Lytechinus pictus: one gene and its partner. The protein of the gene in region 1 purifies or fractionates together with the protein of each later gene. This does not show direct contact. Links are inferred from orthologs where the notes say so. Each region holds a gene or a part of one and is shown on either strand. Other genes may lie near its edges.

Region 1 (7,231 bases):
CAACCTCTCCAACATAAACACACATTGACAAGGTGCTTTCAGACAAGAAATTGCAGGCCATGCTAATTTATGTCAGTCTTGTGGATTTTCTTTCTCCATACCAAGGGACGTGCAATGGCTGTAGTACTGAATGTACATGTTGGTCCTATGTAGTTGATTCAAATGCATAGACTTTTTCTTCTTTGTGGGTGTTGGCCAGTTGGGCCCATTTCTGATAACCAAACTTCATGCTCCTACGCATCATAAAATCATACTTATTTTAGCAACCATGCTTCTTCAATGCTCACAAGTAAACACCCTCTTGTCTAATCTAAAAAATAAAATCATGATCTTGCCAGCACTGTAGTAAGTCTCCCATCAGCCCTATTTTTAAAAAACTTATCCTGCAATTTCTGACCTAACAAATTATCTTGATCAAAAAAATTCTCAAAGATTATTTGAAAGGAAGTTGCAGTTAATATTCGGGACATATCATTTCCATGATTTTGATATTCTAGTCCCAAGTCAATTTCGTATTTTATGATTTGGCAAATAATCGAGATTAGAACAGTCTAATGATTATCCGTGTTGAAGATAAAATTATTTCAATATTTCATTGACTTGAGATTGGAGATTGGAATACCAAATCAACTAAGATTAATGGGGTATTAATAGCACTCTATTTTGTGAATTATTCAGCTAATTTACAGGTGGAGACACACTCAGGTTTTGGCTTCGGATAATTTATTGTTCACGATACCATACCATCCCACGTTATTCAAACATAGAGCCATAAGTATACATAATCTACAAACACATGGTTACATTCAACACTCAAGTGACAATTCCACCCATTTGGGCTGATGGGGATGGGGTTTCTTGAACCTCATACCCCTTTCATAAACCTATCCTCCAATTAGCCGCCTAATAGTAATGCGGATAATTCAACAAAAATTGCTTTCACAAACTCCGAAAATTATCCGCATTATTTTTACGAGCGCCCGTCCTGAAAAAGGCGGATAATCGTCATGACAACTGGACACGCCCCCTCCGATACGGTTGTGTTGGAAAAGGGTGACCTTGTGACCGCACCATGGCAATTATCCGCATTATTTGGAAATACGTTCATAAACTCAAAATCTTGTCCCGATGCTGCTATTATGCGGATAATTGCAGCATCAAAATAATGCGGATAACTCTGGTCCTCCTCCGATTTTACGACCAAATTATGCTGCTATTAGCCGCATAATTGGGTTTATGAAAGGGGTATTAGAAGGGCCGATTAAGCTAGAATCTGAAGATCGGGCAACTCTGGTTGATGAGACAACAGCTCATGAAACTAATGTAGAACCCAAATTCAATCCTCCATGTTTGGATTTTTGCATTTTGAGTGATGGATGTTTTTCATACATCCAAATGCTTAGAAATGGGTGGTTGCATATATGTATGCAGCAGCACGGCCTAATAAATGAGCGCTGCTGAACGGTTTTAATGGCTTTTCAGTTGGGATAAATTTCCTGCACTTGCTTAGGCTCCACATTCAGACTTCAATGTCACTGTCATACGGTCATACCAGTAACAATACGGATAGTAATTTAAAAAGAAATTATTTTACTTCCTCACTACCTCTGAAAATTTGCTGTTTTTTCTCATTACTCAACTGCAACTTATTTTTTGAAGCAAAATAATTCCCTTTGTATGTACAATGAGCTTTGGCCCCACTTTTAGGTTATGGTTCCATAAAAAATGAGAATAAAAACTACTGGAGAAAACCACAAAACAAAAATCTTTATCTCCAGGAAGTTTAAAATTACATGTTGGTGGGGAATTGGTTGTTCCCAATCTTTTAAACACACATTTTGCATAACAAATAAAACTGCTTCCTCAATTATGAAGCTTCTAGCAGAACTCGGTGTGGCATGTATCACACAAGTGTATGTGCCGATCGATCGTACACATGGTTTGAAGGTATTCGGACATCACTCATCAGGGAGTCTGAAGCTCTGAACCATTAAGACTACATATATTACAAGGGATGATGATGAGGATGAGAGGAAGCTTGACAACAGCCAAGCACCTTTCTCTTTATTTCTGTGCATTTCTAACAATAGCAAACTGCATTAGAATCAGGGGGTGTTTCACAAAGATCTAGTTGCGCACGGTATAAAAGGCATGACAGCATTGGTCAGATCATGCCAAAAGGACGCGCACTACTACATATTGATAAAAAAGATTGCGCGTTGCATATCATGTACACGTCGGCATTTAAGTGTGTCCTAACTTAAGTCATAGTTTTATGTTTGTGAAACACCCCCCAGTCAACCAGTTGGTCAAAATAGTCAATTGACAATGATAGTATTTCAATTGAAATTACGAATCAAACGCACAAAATGACTATTTGGAAGTGATGTTTCTTGCAAATTTAACACATATCATTAAAACCTACACCCATCCCACCACCCACCGCCCCCCCCCCCCAAAATAAAAAAAATTAAAACAACCCTAAAATTGTCGTCGAACGCAACTGATTTTGCTGGTCTGAAAGAGGGCTGTAATATCCATTCCCGTTCCCTGACAAACATAACTGAAGAAAAGGTAAATACCGTTGATCTATTGGCTAATGAGTCTGTCAGTGTATGCAGCTGAATTTGTATTACTGATCGATGTTTAAAAAAGTTGATTGACTTTGTAACTGATTTTAGTGAATGCAAACACTGATTATAAATGTGAATCACACGCCTGCATGTACGAAATGCAAAGCACACCTTCTAGTAGATATATGTAAAATTGTATGGTATCATGACTTCATCCTGTTATGTTTAAGAACTTCCTAAAGTAGAGTGACATGTACAATATCGTCAGTTGGGTGTTAACACCTAATATTTCAAATAAAAATTGCAGGACGCTCAGAAAAAGTTGTATTTTAGAAATATATTGAAATGGGGGCAACCTCACATTGAAAACAGTCTCATAATATCTGAAGAGAACCAACTCTAGGAAAAAGCAGGTTGCCATCCATGTCACACTGTTGTAATTAAGCTTCTTCTGAGCTGTCCTAATATTTTTGAACTTTTTTTTAAATACCCCTCTAGCACTATACATTTCCTGCATATAGGCCTATATATCAATTCTTATTAAAAAAAAACTTACCATAGAGTTGGATAGATCTTCTTCTTTGCCAAATCTCCCTGCAAAGATAAAACAACGAGAGAAAGGGGTAATTCATATAGAAAAACAAGAATAAACAATTGTTTTGATGATACCATATATAAATCTTTTTGAAGTTGTTGAAAAATTGCATTGATACTCATGACCAGTGTGTTACATGTAGTATGTTTTCATAAGAAATTATCACCAAGATAAAAATCCTACATGAACATGACAGGCATAAATAATAAAAATATTTATATTTGTCTGGTGTACATTAAAACATCCATATGCACTCCTTCATTCTCCCTACCCCCTTCTCTCCTCCCTCCCCCCCCCCCTCATCTCCTACACCTTCCCCTCAATACCCCCATCTCTCTATCTATCTATCTACATTATCTATCTACCTACATCTATCAATCTATCTATCTATCTACATCTATCTATCTATCTATCTACATAGATATATCTATCTATCTACATAGATCTATCTATCTATCTATCTATCTACATCTATATATCTATCTATCTATCTACATCTATCTATCTATCTTTATATCTATCTACATCTATCTATCTATCTATCTATCTACATATATCTATCTATCTATCTACATATATCTATCTATCTACATGTATCTATCTATCTATCTATCTATCTATCTATCTACATGTATCTACATCTATCTATCTATCTATCTACATCTATCTATCTATCTACATATATCTATTTATCTATCTACATCTATCTATTTATTTATCTATCTACATCTATCTATATATCTATCCATCTATCCATCCATCCATCCATCTGTCTATCTATCTATCTAATGTATATCTGTCTGTCTGTGTATCTGTCTATCTATCTATCTATCTATCTATCTATCTATCTATCTATCTATCTATCTATCTATCTATCTATCTATCTATCTATCTATCCATCCATCCATCAATCAATTAATGAATTTCATCCATGTACCTGACTGTACCCATCATCATCCTACCGATTCACCTGCGAGGCCTATTAATCAAACAACCTATTAACAGACTAGATGGGAAATGAATAGAAATGGATCAATATTGGCCAATGACATTGCCTCGTACCCTTTAACTACAGCTGGCCTTTCAGGCTTTCAGGATGTAGTGGGAAAAGGTGACTGTATTCATTTTAATTTGTTCATTGGCATACAATCCATTATCTACTTAAAATCAACAAACTCGGCCAGCTCTTATGAATAAAATATCGACTGTTAACAATTTTTATTGCAAATTTAAAAAAATCTATGGCGGCTCCACTTCTATATACTCGTATACATGTCAGGCGGAAATCAATAAAAAATATTCAGTTTGAGATATTTTCAAGCATCTTCAAACTGGTAAAAATTTCACCCATTTCACATCAATATTATTTTATTTGAATCTTTTAGCAATTTAAAAGGCAAATAATGATTCGGCTCAAGAGGCAGATACGTTTGCTTTGTATATTCTCTTATCAAACTTCAAATTCTGTGTGTGTAAGATAATGAATGCATCCTGCAGCATGACTTGCAAAAAATCTTCAAACTCATTGCACAATGAGCATGATTTGAAATTACATATTTTTTTAATGAAGGGTTTGGGTTTTGTCATTGATATTCACTGCCTAATTTGCTCTCAGCAAATCTGATAGAATTTGCAGTAGTTTTTGATTATATGAAAATTCTTCCCCTGAGCCTGAGTTATTCTAGATTTCCAGGCATGGGGCTACAAATTGGTAACCATAAAAAAATGATAACAAAAATGACAGCAATATTCTAGAATTAATTAATGCAAGCCATAACAAAATATTAACAAAAATGATTAAAAACTGCCTCATTCATTCTATGAAATTAAATCTAAAGCACATGAATAGTAGTCAAAACTGCCTCATTAAATCCATGAAATAAAATCTCAAGCACACGAATAGTCGAAACTGCTTCATTCAATCTAAGAAATAAATTCTCAAGCACATGAATAGTAGCCCAGGGCTGTAGTAGAGTAACATGTATCATTCCCTAATGTCTTTTTTGAGAGAAGAGTGGAAAGACCCACGGGTGGGGGGGGGGGGGCAGTCAAATGTTTTGCTGTACACTTGCATGACAAAATATTTCCAAACACCCCTTAAAATGCATTTTTTGGTCAAGCATGTGTACAGCATGATGTTTGACTCCCCCCCCCCCCCCCCCCGGGTGAACAGATTGCTGCATTTAATTAAAATATTTGTATCAATCATCTTGTTCTGCCTGAATTAGAGCAGTTTTAATTCAAAAGGCAAAGGGGCAAAATGCATTGGAAGACTGCCTTAATTAATATGATTAAAATCCCTGCAGGTAACTGATGTTCAGATAAAATGTGATTGCCTTTTACAATTAAACAGATTAAGTTCTCTGGTCTCAATTTCTTTACTTTTCAGGCCATCATCAAAGTAATTTACTTTTCCCAGACAAAACTTGGATTTGATTTCTTCATGGATAAAATTACATCATTATCACGGGTAGGTATACTGACTAGTGCTGAGTGAAAATAAGTGAGACTCTACTACTCAAAACTACGATACTTCCTTATTTTACATCCGAATGTAATGAAATTTTCAGTGTTAGGCTTGATTCATATTTCTTTATCATCAACTCGTTGCTGGGGTGGACTTTGGCTTTGAATAAAAATCACAAATCATGACTATGGGAGACAGTCTTACTGAATTCATGAAAATGGTTCGAATCAGGAAGTACACAAGTTTAAATTAATTCAATGTCCTTGTTTGAATTAACTGATTATTCATTTACATATCAGAAATACAGTGTTTAATATGTATATATGTTACTGAAAATCTTAACTTTTGTTCTCAACACACTGGAAAATTTATAAAATTTGCTCAAAATGTCCAAGTATCCACTGCAGCCTTTATCAATTTGTGAGATTTCCAATATATCTTTTACCAGAGGTGCCACCTCCATTTCTACATGTACCAACACAGATCATTCAGTACTAAGTACAGGTAAATTTACTTTTGAGAAATGGTCTAGACACAATGTACATTTATATCATATGGCACTGAAAAGGGAAATCCCCTTATTTCTGAATAATTATTTGAATAACACCCCCCCCCCCCGGAAGTACACCATCCATGGAACGTTCCCCCCCCCCCCATAACCATTCAGGACCCAGGAATACTTCCACATCCATTCATTGCATACTCAAAATATTTCACTTCACTATAAAGTGTACTGTATGTTAATAAAAAAAAAGGGCCCCATGGTTATCCAAAGACGGTATGATGAGCACTCAAAGATTCCATTTTAAAGGAAAAAGAAAATAGTACAGAAAAAGAATGTTCAATAAAAAAAACACCAGATTAATTTTCAGATAATAAGTCGCTGAAAAAAAAATGATTCCATGGCCATTAGATGTTAGATGATAGAGTCAAGTATAATTCCCATTAGTGACCCTTTTAATAGAGAATCTTTGGACGGACTTCCAAGGCTCAAAAGTGCACTTAACACGACATATATTATGTGAAATGCACGGTGACAAACTAATTAGATTTGGTGGGTTTCATTATGCATTTTCAATCTCATTAGGGCAGGTGCATGATGGGAGTTGATTTGATAAAGCGACGGGGACAGGACTGCCGCCAGAGGCAAACTTCAGCTTGGTAGAAAAAAAAAGGATGAGAGAGAATAATTGCAAATGCATTTTTCACCGACCGTCTAATAATTAACATAGTCCACATTAATACTTTAAAATCCATGGTATATAAGTAGGGATATTCAGGGCCCCGTCTTAAAAAGAGTTACGATTGATCCAATCCCTCGTAACTCTATGGAGATCAATCAATCGTAACGTTATGGAAATCAATCAGTGTCATAATTTTTTCTACAGGAAATTTGCAAAATGTCCTAAGTAAACAAAGGAGATCACAAAAAATTGTCAAGAAATCAATTAATTTATGGATATACATTCATATCTAGATTTTTTTTGAACAAACATGCATTTTATATGTTGACTTTGCTGGCTTTCCATAGTTGCGATTGATCGGATCAATCGCAACTCTTTGTAAGACGGGCCCCAGGTATGATGGTAATGCAGT
Region 2 (7,409 bases), on another chromosome or scaffold:
GTTGATCAATAACACAATCCTCGACCTCAACGCCCGAAATGAAAACAGCCCCACGAGGGGCGTGAAAGAGGGATAGCGCGCAGGGGAGAATGAAGCAAGGGGAGAGAAATAACAAGTACACCGACGTCTAGAATCTAGACTAGGGTGCGGTTAATGCACGGCCGCGGTTTATACTCCGAAAAATATGGTAATGTAAAAATGCATAAATTTCAATTTTTGAATGGTTCCTGATGACTTATTTTTGTTTTATTTTTGGAAACGGGTTTGAAATGATTTGTCTATACTGAAGCCTGGGGCCCGTTTCTCAACACATGGACAAGTTAGTCATATCTTTATCCACCAACCACGGAGTTAGTTCCAATCTTACTAAACCTGTTTCTCGAAAGGCTTCCTAACTAGAATACCTTGATATCGATACTATCGGTAAAAAGAGCAGACGAGATGTAGCCTTAGTCACAACAGAGCATAATTTTCCAAAATAATAATTATGACAAAATTGCAAATATTATGATGAATTGGGAAATAAATCTTTTCAAAATAATAGCACAGGTGAATTATGCATCATACATACTTAGACCATGAAGACTGGAGCATTCAATTGCAGAGAAAATTAAATTATGAATACTTAATTTCATGACTAAAAAATCACTTGTGGACGTTGAGATGGGTACCCCCGGGATACCCAATTTTAATAGTTTACGAAAGTAAACCATAACGGTTTTCTATCTCTGTAAAATGATGATAATTATACGGACTTTTACGATTCCAAACGTCATCAAAATATAGTTTAACGAAATATTTTTAATCATTGATACCGAAAGATACGATATTGGACAAATTATATGCATAAATTAGAGATAGAATTTATCCAACTGTTTATAGGGTTCTGAAAACAGCAAATACGAGTTCAGTTATGGATGGCCTGACGTGGTAGAATCTTTATCGATTAAATCATTTTACTATTTCAAAATGAATGGTTCTGTGGCGTTTACCAACAGTTTTTATAGTTTCTTTGTATTACAATTATCATTGAATGCATTAACCCACTTGTTTTGTGATGTAATTTCAACCTCTATGATTGATTACGTAAGATTATAATTTTAAAATATCTAGGCACTTTCGCATGTCATAGTCTACCCACGTGATGCCACTACGTCATTAAGAAAGAAGTTATGACAGGTTCGGAGGTGTCATAAATATTTAGTGAGGTTGTTGTACCCGATCTTGGTAAAGAGGGCTTCGTGAAACGGTTAGCGGACAAGTAGCTCACTATCTCCGATTTAGTCAAGAAGTTAGACTTATGACGGTGTTGAGAAACGGGCCCCTGAAGGTGCAGTAAAAACATTTCCAATTTTCTGAGAAATGACATTTTATGGATTTTTTACCACACAAGTACATAGTTTTATTGCACTCAATTCAATGGGAAATGTATAAAAATTAATGCTCATAATGGACAAGTCCTGCCCTTCCCCCCAAGCCAACCTTAACGTCTTCATTTGAGTTTGAGTTTTTGTACAGAAATCGAAGTTTGAATTCTAGTGTAGAAATCTAAATTCGATAAATAGGAAATGGTTGAAGTCCATTCTGAAATTGCTTATGTGTTATCTACTTAGTTAGATTTAAACAACAAAGTAGTCCACCCCAATCCGATTTTGATGAAATTTTCAGCGTTATGCTAGTTTGATTTTTCTCTATTTATTCAAATAGATCTATATTTTTCTGGGATGGACTTGGCCTCAAATTAAAATAGTTCAGGCTTGCTTGAAATTATCCATTTTATTACCGCATGCCTTTCCTGGTGTAGCTAACACAGAAAACGGTATGTGGAACCGCATTATGAACAGTAGGCATTTTTCAGGGATTTTCTTATCTTTATTTGTTCATTACTTTGTAATTATAGATTTTTCTGTACAATTAGGCAGATATTCATTTATAAGTTTTTATAATTCTGTGTAAGTTTTGGTCAATTCTGTAAATATTTGATTTTTTTGTCACTTGTTGCCATTACCAGAGTTTATTTTTAAGCAGTCATTCCTTGATCATTAGGCCTTTAAGCTTTGATTTCTATGAAGAACTCATCTTTTGGAAACTTGATAAGTGATGTCATCTGTTGAATGTGAACTTGACAACTTTAACCAAATAATCAGAATGTTACAACCAGTGTGATCCCAACATACAGGTTTGTTACACCTGGATGCTTTGTGGTCCCTAGATCTATCCCGGGATTCTGACCTTCCTCTTCATAACAATACCTCCTATCAACTCAAACCCAACACTTCATTAGGGCCGTCTGCACCCGCCCGAGTTTTCAAATTAGCGCGCTACTTCTGATCCGGCAAATTATCCCGATCTGAACAATCTCGAGATTATTTGTAATGGAAACACAATTATCGCGCTAGTTTGCAGGATTAATCTTGAGATTGCAACCCCAAGTTCGCAGGATTAATCTTGAGATTGCAACCCCAAGGCAACTTGGAATTATTTGCAAAATAGCGTGCTATTTTACGAATTATCCCGCTAATTCACAGGTGCAAACGCACTCTGGATTATTCATTCACGGCGTCAGACCATAATGCATGGATGCCACGCTCGAGCAGGAATCGCTCTTCTTGCGATGGTGGAGACGGGGTTTCTTGAATCTCGAGATTAATTGCGAAGAGGGCCGATCGGGCTAAAATCTCCAGATTGAGCAAACTCGGCTGGTGCAGCACCGCCTACTGTGTCTGGCACTGCATCTGGATCTAGTCTGCTATGCAAACCCTTCACTTGAGTTGTGGTCTGTATGTACTGTATGTGCATCCTATGATCCTACAATGACCTGTGTACAGAAGGCCTGAAATAATTTAGACACCGTTCTCACTACCTTCCTTAAACCAATTTAATGGAAACTAGTTTAGTGGAAAGTGGTTTAACACGTAGCAAGAACAGTCGAACCGGTCTTGGAAGCAATCTTCCAAACCAGTTCGGAATACCACCTCGCGATGTAGTTTTCAAGATCGCTTCGCCTCGATAAACCGGTTTTAGCGCAAGTGAGGACACAACCCTTCTTCGTGAAGCGATCTTCGCACATTTTGTGCGCGCTACTCCACGCGACAGGTGTAGAATGTCTACGCTGCGGTTTCGAATTTCGCGCGAAATGTGTCGCCCCACTGAGAGTGTTTCCATACATGTAGCAACAAGATTGCTTTACGTGAAGTGATTTTGAAAACCACTTTCGTGTGATCAAGTGGGAACGCTAGCAAAGCGATCTTCCAAACTGGTTTCCTGAACCGGTTTCCAGTAAACTAGTTTTAGAAAGCAAAATGTGAACGGTGTCTGAGTCATGTGTGAAGACCCATTTAGTTTCTGCCCCCAGACTAATCTTGATTGGTGTTATCGCTGGAGCAAGTTTAAACATCCCAAGACAGTAGACAACAAGGGCAGTGGAACGGTTTTGGAAGGGGGGGGGGGCTGACCTGGACATTTCTTAACCAAACCAAGTTTAAACAATGGTTTCATCTATAATCAAAGGTGCATTATGAACCCTGTTTGCAGTGTGATTAGTACAGATCAGAATCAGACCTTGATACTTTGTTGAAATTGCCCATTTGCTTTAATAGACTGTGATTCTGGAGAGCCTGTGAGCTGGCAGTGATTTAGATTCTGGTGTAGAGTTGCATACAGTACAGTACAGAAGGCCCAGCAAGTTGAATACTAGTCTTGTATGAAGGCCTTCTTGTTGATGAAAGTTTCAACCAGGGTCTATGCCTGCAGACTATAGCTAGTCTGCGTATCATGCTGCACATGTAGAATTTGTCAGCAGTTATTACAGGTATAATTCAATTCCTGCCAAACGCCTTTTCTCTGGACCAGGCCACTTGACATTTGGATAATTCAGCTGTCTTCATGGTTTTATAATAAAATGTGTCTTTTATAATTGAAAGACATCCAACATTTTGTTTGTTCTAAAATAAAACATTTTCATTGAACAAACCCTGGTTGTGATTGACTCTGTGTTAACGCTCCCAGATCCAGGGAAGCCTCCGGAATGGAGATTTTAACAAAGCTCTACTGATTACACGTTCATGTTCTATTGAGCTGACAACATGGATAATGACGTCTTCCTGAGGAGGCAGTATGTCATGTATCGTAGTATAGTGAATATTGGTTGTCTGATCAGAGAGCTCAAGCTTTCTAAACCTCTTCATTATAAACAGAGGGTAAGTCAGTCATTTCGTCTTCGGTGGGGATGTTTCACGTGGTAAAATTTCAACTTAAAATTCGGACCTTAAATACTGTATTTTCAGTCATTTTGGGTAGCATGCCTAAATTTTCTAGGCCATGGCCATACAGGTCCTTCGATGCCCTCATAAATTTCCTCGATACCCTTTCAAATATTTGTAGACTTAAGGCCAAAGGGTGATGCCCCTTTTTCTTGTGGCCTTGGTGCCCCATGGAAGTCAAAAGTAAATTTTACTATTGATCCCTTTTTTAATGGCCTTGGAGGCTCCCTAAGGTCAGCACTGCCTTTCCTTTCCTTTAAGTGCCCTTCCAAAAAATGTTATGACCCCGAATATATATATATCGGTCATACTTTGTTTATTATGTTTTCTATTTGAACTCCTTTTTTAAATTTTTGTTCACTTGTTTGAACATGTATCTTGCATTTTACTGTTGGGGGAACCGCCTATCGATTGGATATGAGTTGTATTCAAGACTTTTCAGAAGCGTTGTGGAATGACATTCTGAACTTGTTTTTTTTAATGAAACAGAAATGCCTATTAAAAACGAGCACATGCATAAAGTCTATCTCATATTTTCAATATAGATCTATCTTTATTTTCTATCTCTTCACAGGAATGTAGTATATGATTGAATGAATTATTTAAGGTGTTTACTTATGTCTTCAAGACAGAATGAGACACCTGTAGGTCTATTTGAATATATATGTAGTTTTCAGGCAGAGTGAGTTTTTATCTACCTCATCTCTTTTTTAATAAGTATGTGTAAGTTTGTGTCTATGTAAATTTATATGGATTTTTTGGGGGGACATTTTGTTGTAAGGTGTTTTATCCCTTGTTTACCTTTGTACATTTGAAATGAATTTATGTGAACATAAAAATTTATACTTTGAAAAGATTAATATAGAACAAGATACAATAAAAATGTACTTGAATGTACAGTATACTCTAAAAAATGTGCTTTCAGATGCAAACCATGAATCTGAAAATGGGAGCTTATTGTTATGCATCGTAACGTACATGTAACATTCGGTTGAATTGATTGATGTTGGTATTTTCCAATGTTAAATCTGTACATGTATCCAAGTTCATCTGGTGAGACATTGTGCAAATACAAATTAGTAATGCTCATTACAGTAAACACAAATAATGATTACTTGGTGAACTCTCAAAGAATTACTCTCCATTTGTTCTCCCTTCTCTCTTTCTCTCTCTCTCTCTCTTCCTGGACCTCAACACCTGTTGATCTTTGATGTCACCCGGATCTTCTTCCAACTGGCCTGGTAAATCTATCTGGGGCTCCCTCTAATGGTTTCCTGACATCAACGACCACCCTGGATTGGTTTCTGTAACGACGGATGCCAACTGCTGGATGAATCGTGTGATTACACTTCATAATGCCTGTGGAATATGCTCCGGACGTGCAATTGCGGGAAACGTCCTTTTGGGATCATTAATTTCACAACAACACTGTTGCCTGGATGTACAACTTATAATGACTTTTGACCTAAACCCTAATACATTCTGATTGGATCTGATTGATGACGGCCTACCTGGATGATTTGTGGACCATGTCACTTACTTCAATGGAATTAATGTCCGCAACAATGTTGTAATGATTACGCCCTCTTGTGTCGGGAATATGAAATCTAACTTCGGATTCTCGCACCTGGATTGGGAAAACTGATTGTGATGTGAAAATTGAACTGTTGCCATCTTGAAACAAAACATTAATGACTTTGTGTTCCTGGATTCTTTTCTGTGACATCAATGGCCTTAACCTGGGCAAAACTGTGCTGTCTCCGCCAACGTATCCTTCCTCGCGCCCTCCGCTGTTTTTCCATCTCCCCTGGATTGCATTCTGATCCATTTGATGAACAGGTTTGTTTACTCATTGAATATTGAATAATCTAATAGGCTCCATTCATCTTTGGCCCTCAGTAGCAGTAGTCCGGGTTATAATTGAGCAAGGTGCCACACGGAAAAGGAGAAATTTTCATATAGTGCTTCTAGACCAGTTTTTTACGCTGAATATGAATATATGAGGTAACCAGGCTGTATCCTGAAAATTAACCCGTGAGGGCGCTTTTTTCAAAATGGCCGCCAAATTTTCAGAACATTCGAATTTTCGTACATAGATTTTGACATAAACATTCCATTGCCACAAAGTTAGTGTCATATGAAAGACAAATAAATTTCCTACAATTTGGTACTATTTAGAGGGGATAAGTAGGTCATTTGGCTGAGATTTTAAGTAGAAACTGCATTTTTTGCCATTTTTTCCCAAAAATTGAAAATGTTGCAAATACATGATTTTACATAATTCTAAGAAAAATGGATCAATTACCTTGAAATGTTCCAGAAAACTTTATTGATATACTATTATTATGTGGATGAAATTCCAACTCTGTATCATTCTTTTTAGGAAAATTATAAGGTATCAAACTTGAATACTTCATTTTCAGAAATGCCACTTTTTGTATGCATTTCCATAGACTAATACGTATAACATGTATAATACATGTATGTATAATGTATAGTAACAAATGTAATGCAATTATCTCCGCTTTTCAACCACTTGGAGAGTCAAGAGTAGGCTTTTCTCTATCAGCTACATAAAAAAATGTTGGCACATCAAGGTCTGACCCTCTCATGGGGGTGGGGGTGTCGAAGTCACCCCCCCCCCCTGCCCTTGGCTATATCATGTTGTTGTATATTTGTTGGAAAAAATACTGTTTTTGGAGCACCCATGAGGCAACAGGCATATCTGCAATATACAGTTCAGCCACTTTGATTGCGGCTTTGAAACTACTTGGAGAGGAAACAGTAGGCTTTGTTCTACCAGCTACATCTAAAGAAGTGGCACATCGAAGCCTATATACCACTCTCGGGGGAGGGGGGCTTTGCTTAAAGGACAAGTCCACCCCCACAAAAAGTTGATTGGAATAAAAAGAGAAAAATCCAACAAGTATAACAGTGAAAATTTCATCAAAATCGGATGTAAAATAAGAAAGTTATGACATTTTAAAGTTTTGCTTAATTTCACAAAATAGTTATATGCACATCCTGGTCGGTATGCAAATGAGGGAACTGATGACATCACTCACTCACTATTTCTTTTGTATTTTATTATATGAAATATGAAATATTTTGATTTTCTCATCATTGTCATGTGAAATGAAGTTTCAT

The links.
Region 2: the proteins of glucose-6-phosphate 1-dehydrogenase X-like (region 1) and histidine--tRNA ligase-like fractionate together in Homo sapiens (co-fractionation; 3 studies listed by BioGRID). This does not show direct contact. The link is inferred for Lytechinus pictus from reciprocal best matches to the Homo sapiens genes G6PD and HARS1.

The regions. Positions count from the first base shown.
Region 1 is NC_087247.1:6,506,445-6,513,675, forward strand, and holds the start of glucose-6-phosphate 1-dehydrogenase X-like, read right to left. Parts: upstream 3,163-7,231; 5' UTR 3,130-3,162; intron 1-3,129. UniProt on the Homo sapiens protein: Catalyzes the rate-limiting step of the oxidative pentose-phosphate pathway, which represents a route for the dissimilation of carbohydrates besides glycolysis.
Region 2 is NC_087249.1:38,482,227-38,489,635, reverse strand, and holds the start of histidine--tRNA ligase-like, read left to right. Parts: upstream 1-4,056; 5' UTR 4,057-4,085; coding exon 4,086-4,199; intron 4,200-5,496; exon of another isoform or gene 5,497-5,990; coding exon of another isoform or gene 5,991-6,101; intron 6,102-7,409. UniProt on the Homo sapiens protein: Catalyzes the ATP-dependent ligation of histidine to the 3'-end of its cognate tRNA, via the formation of an aminoacyl-adenylate intermediate (His-AMP). Plays a role in axon guidance.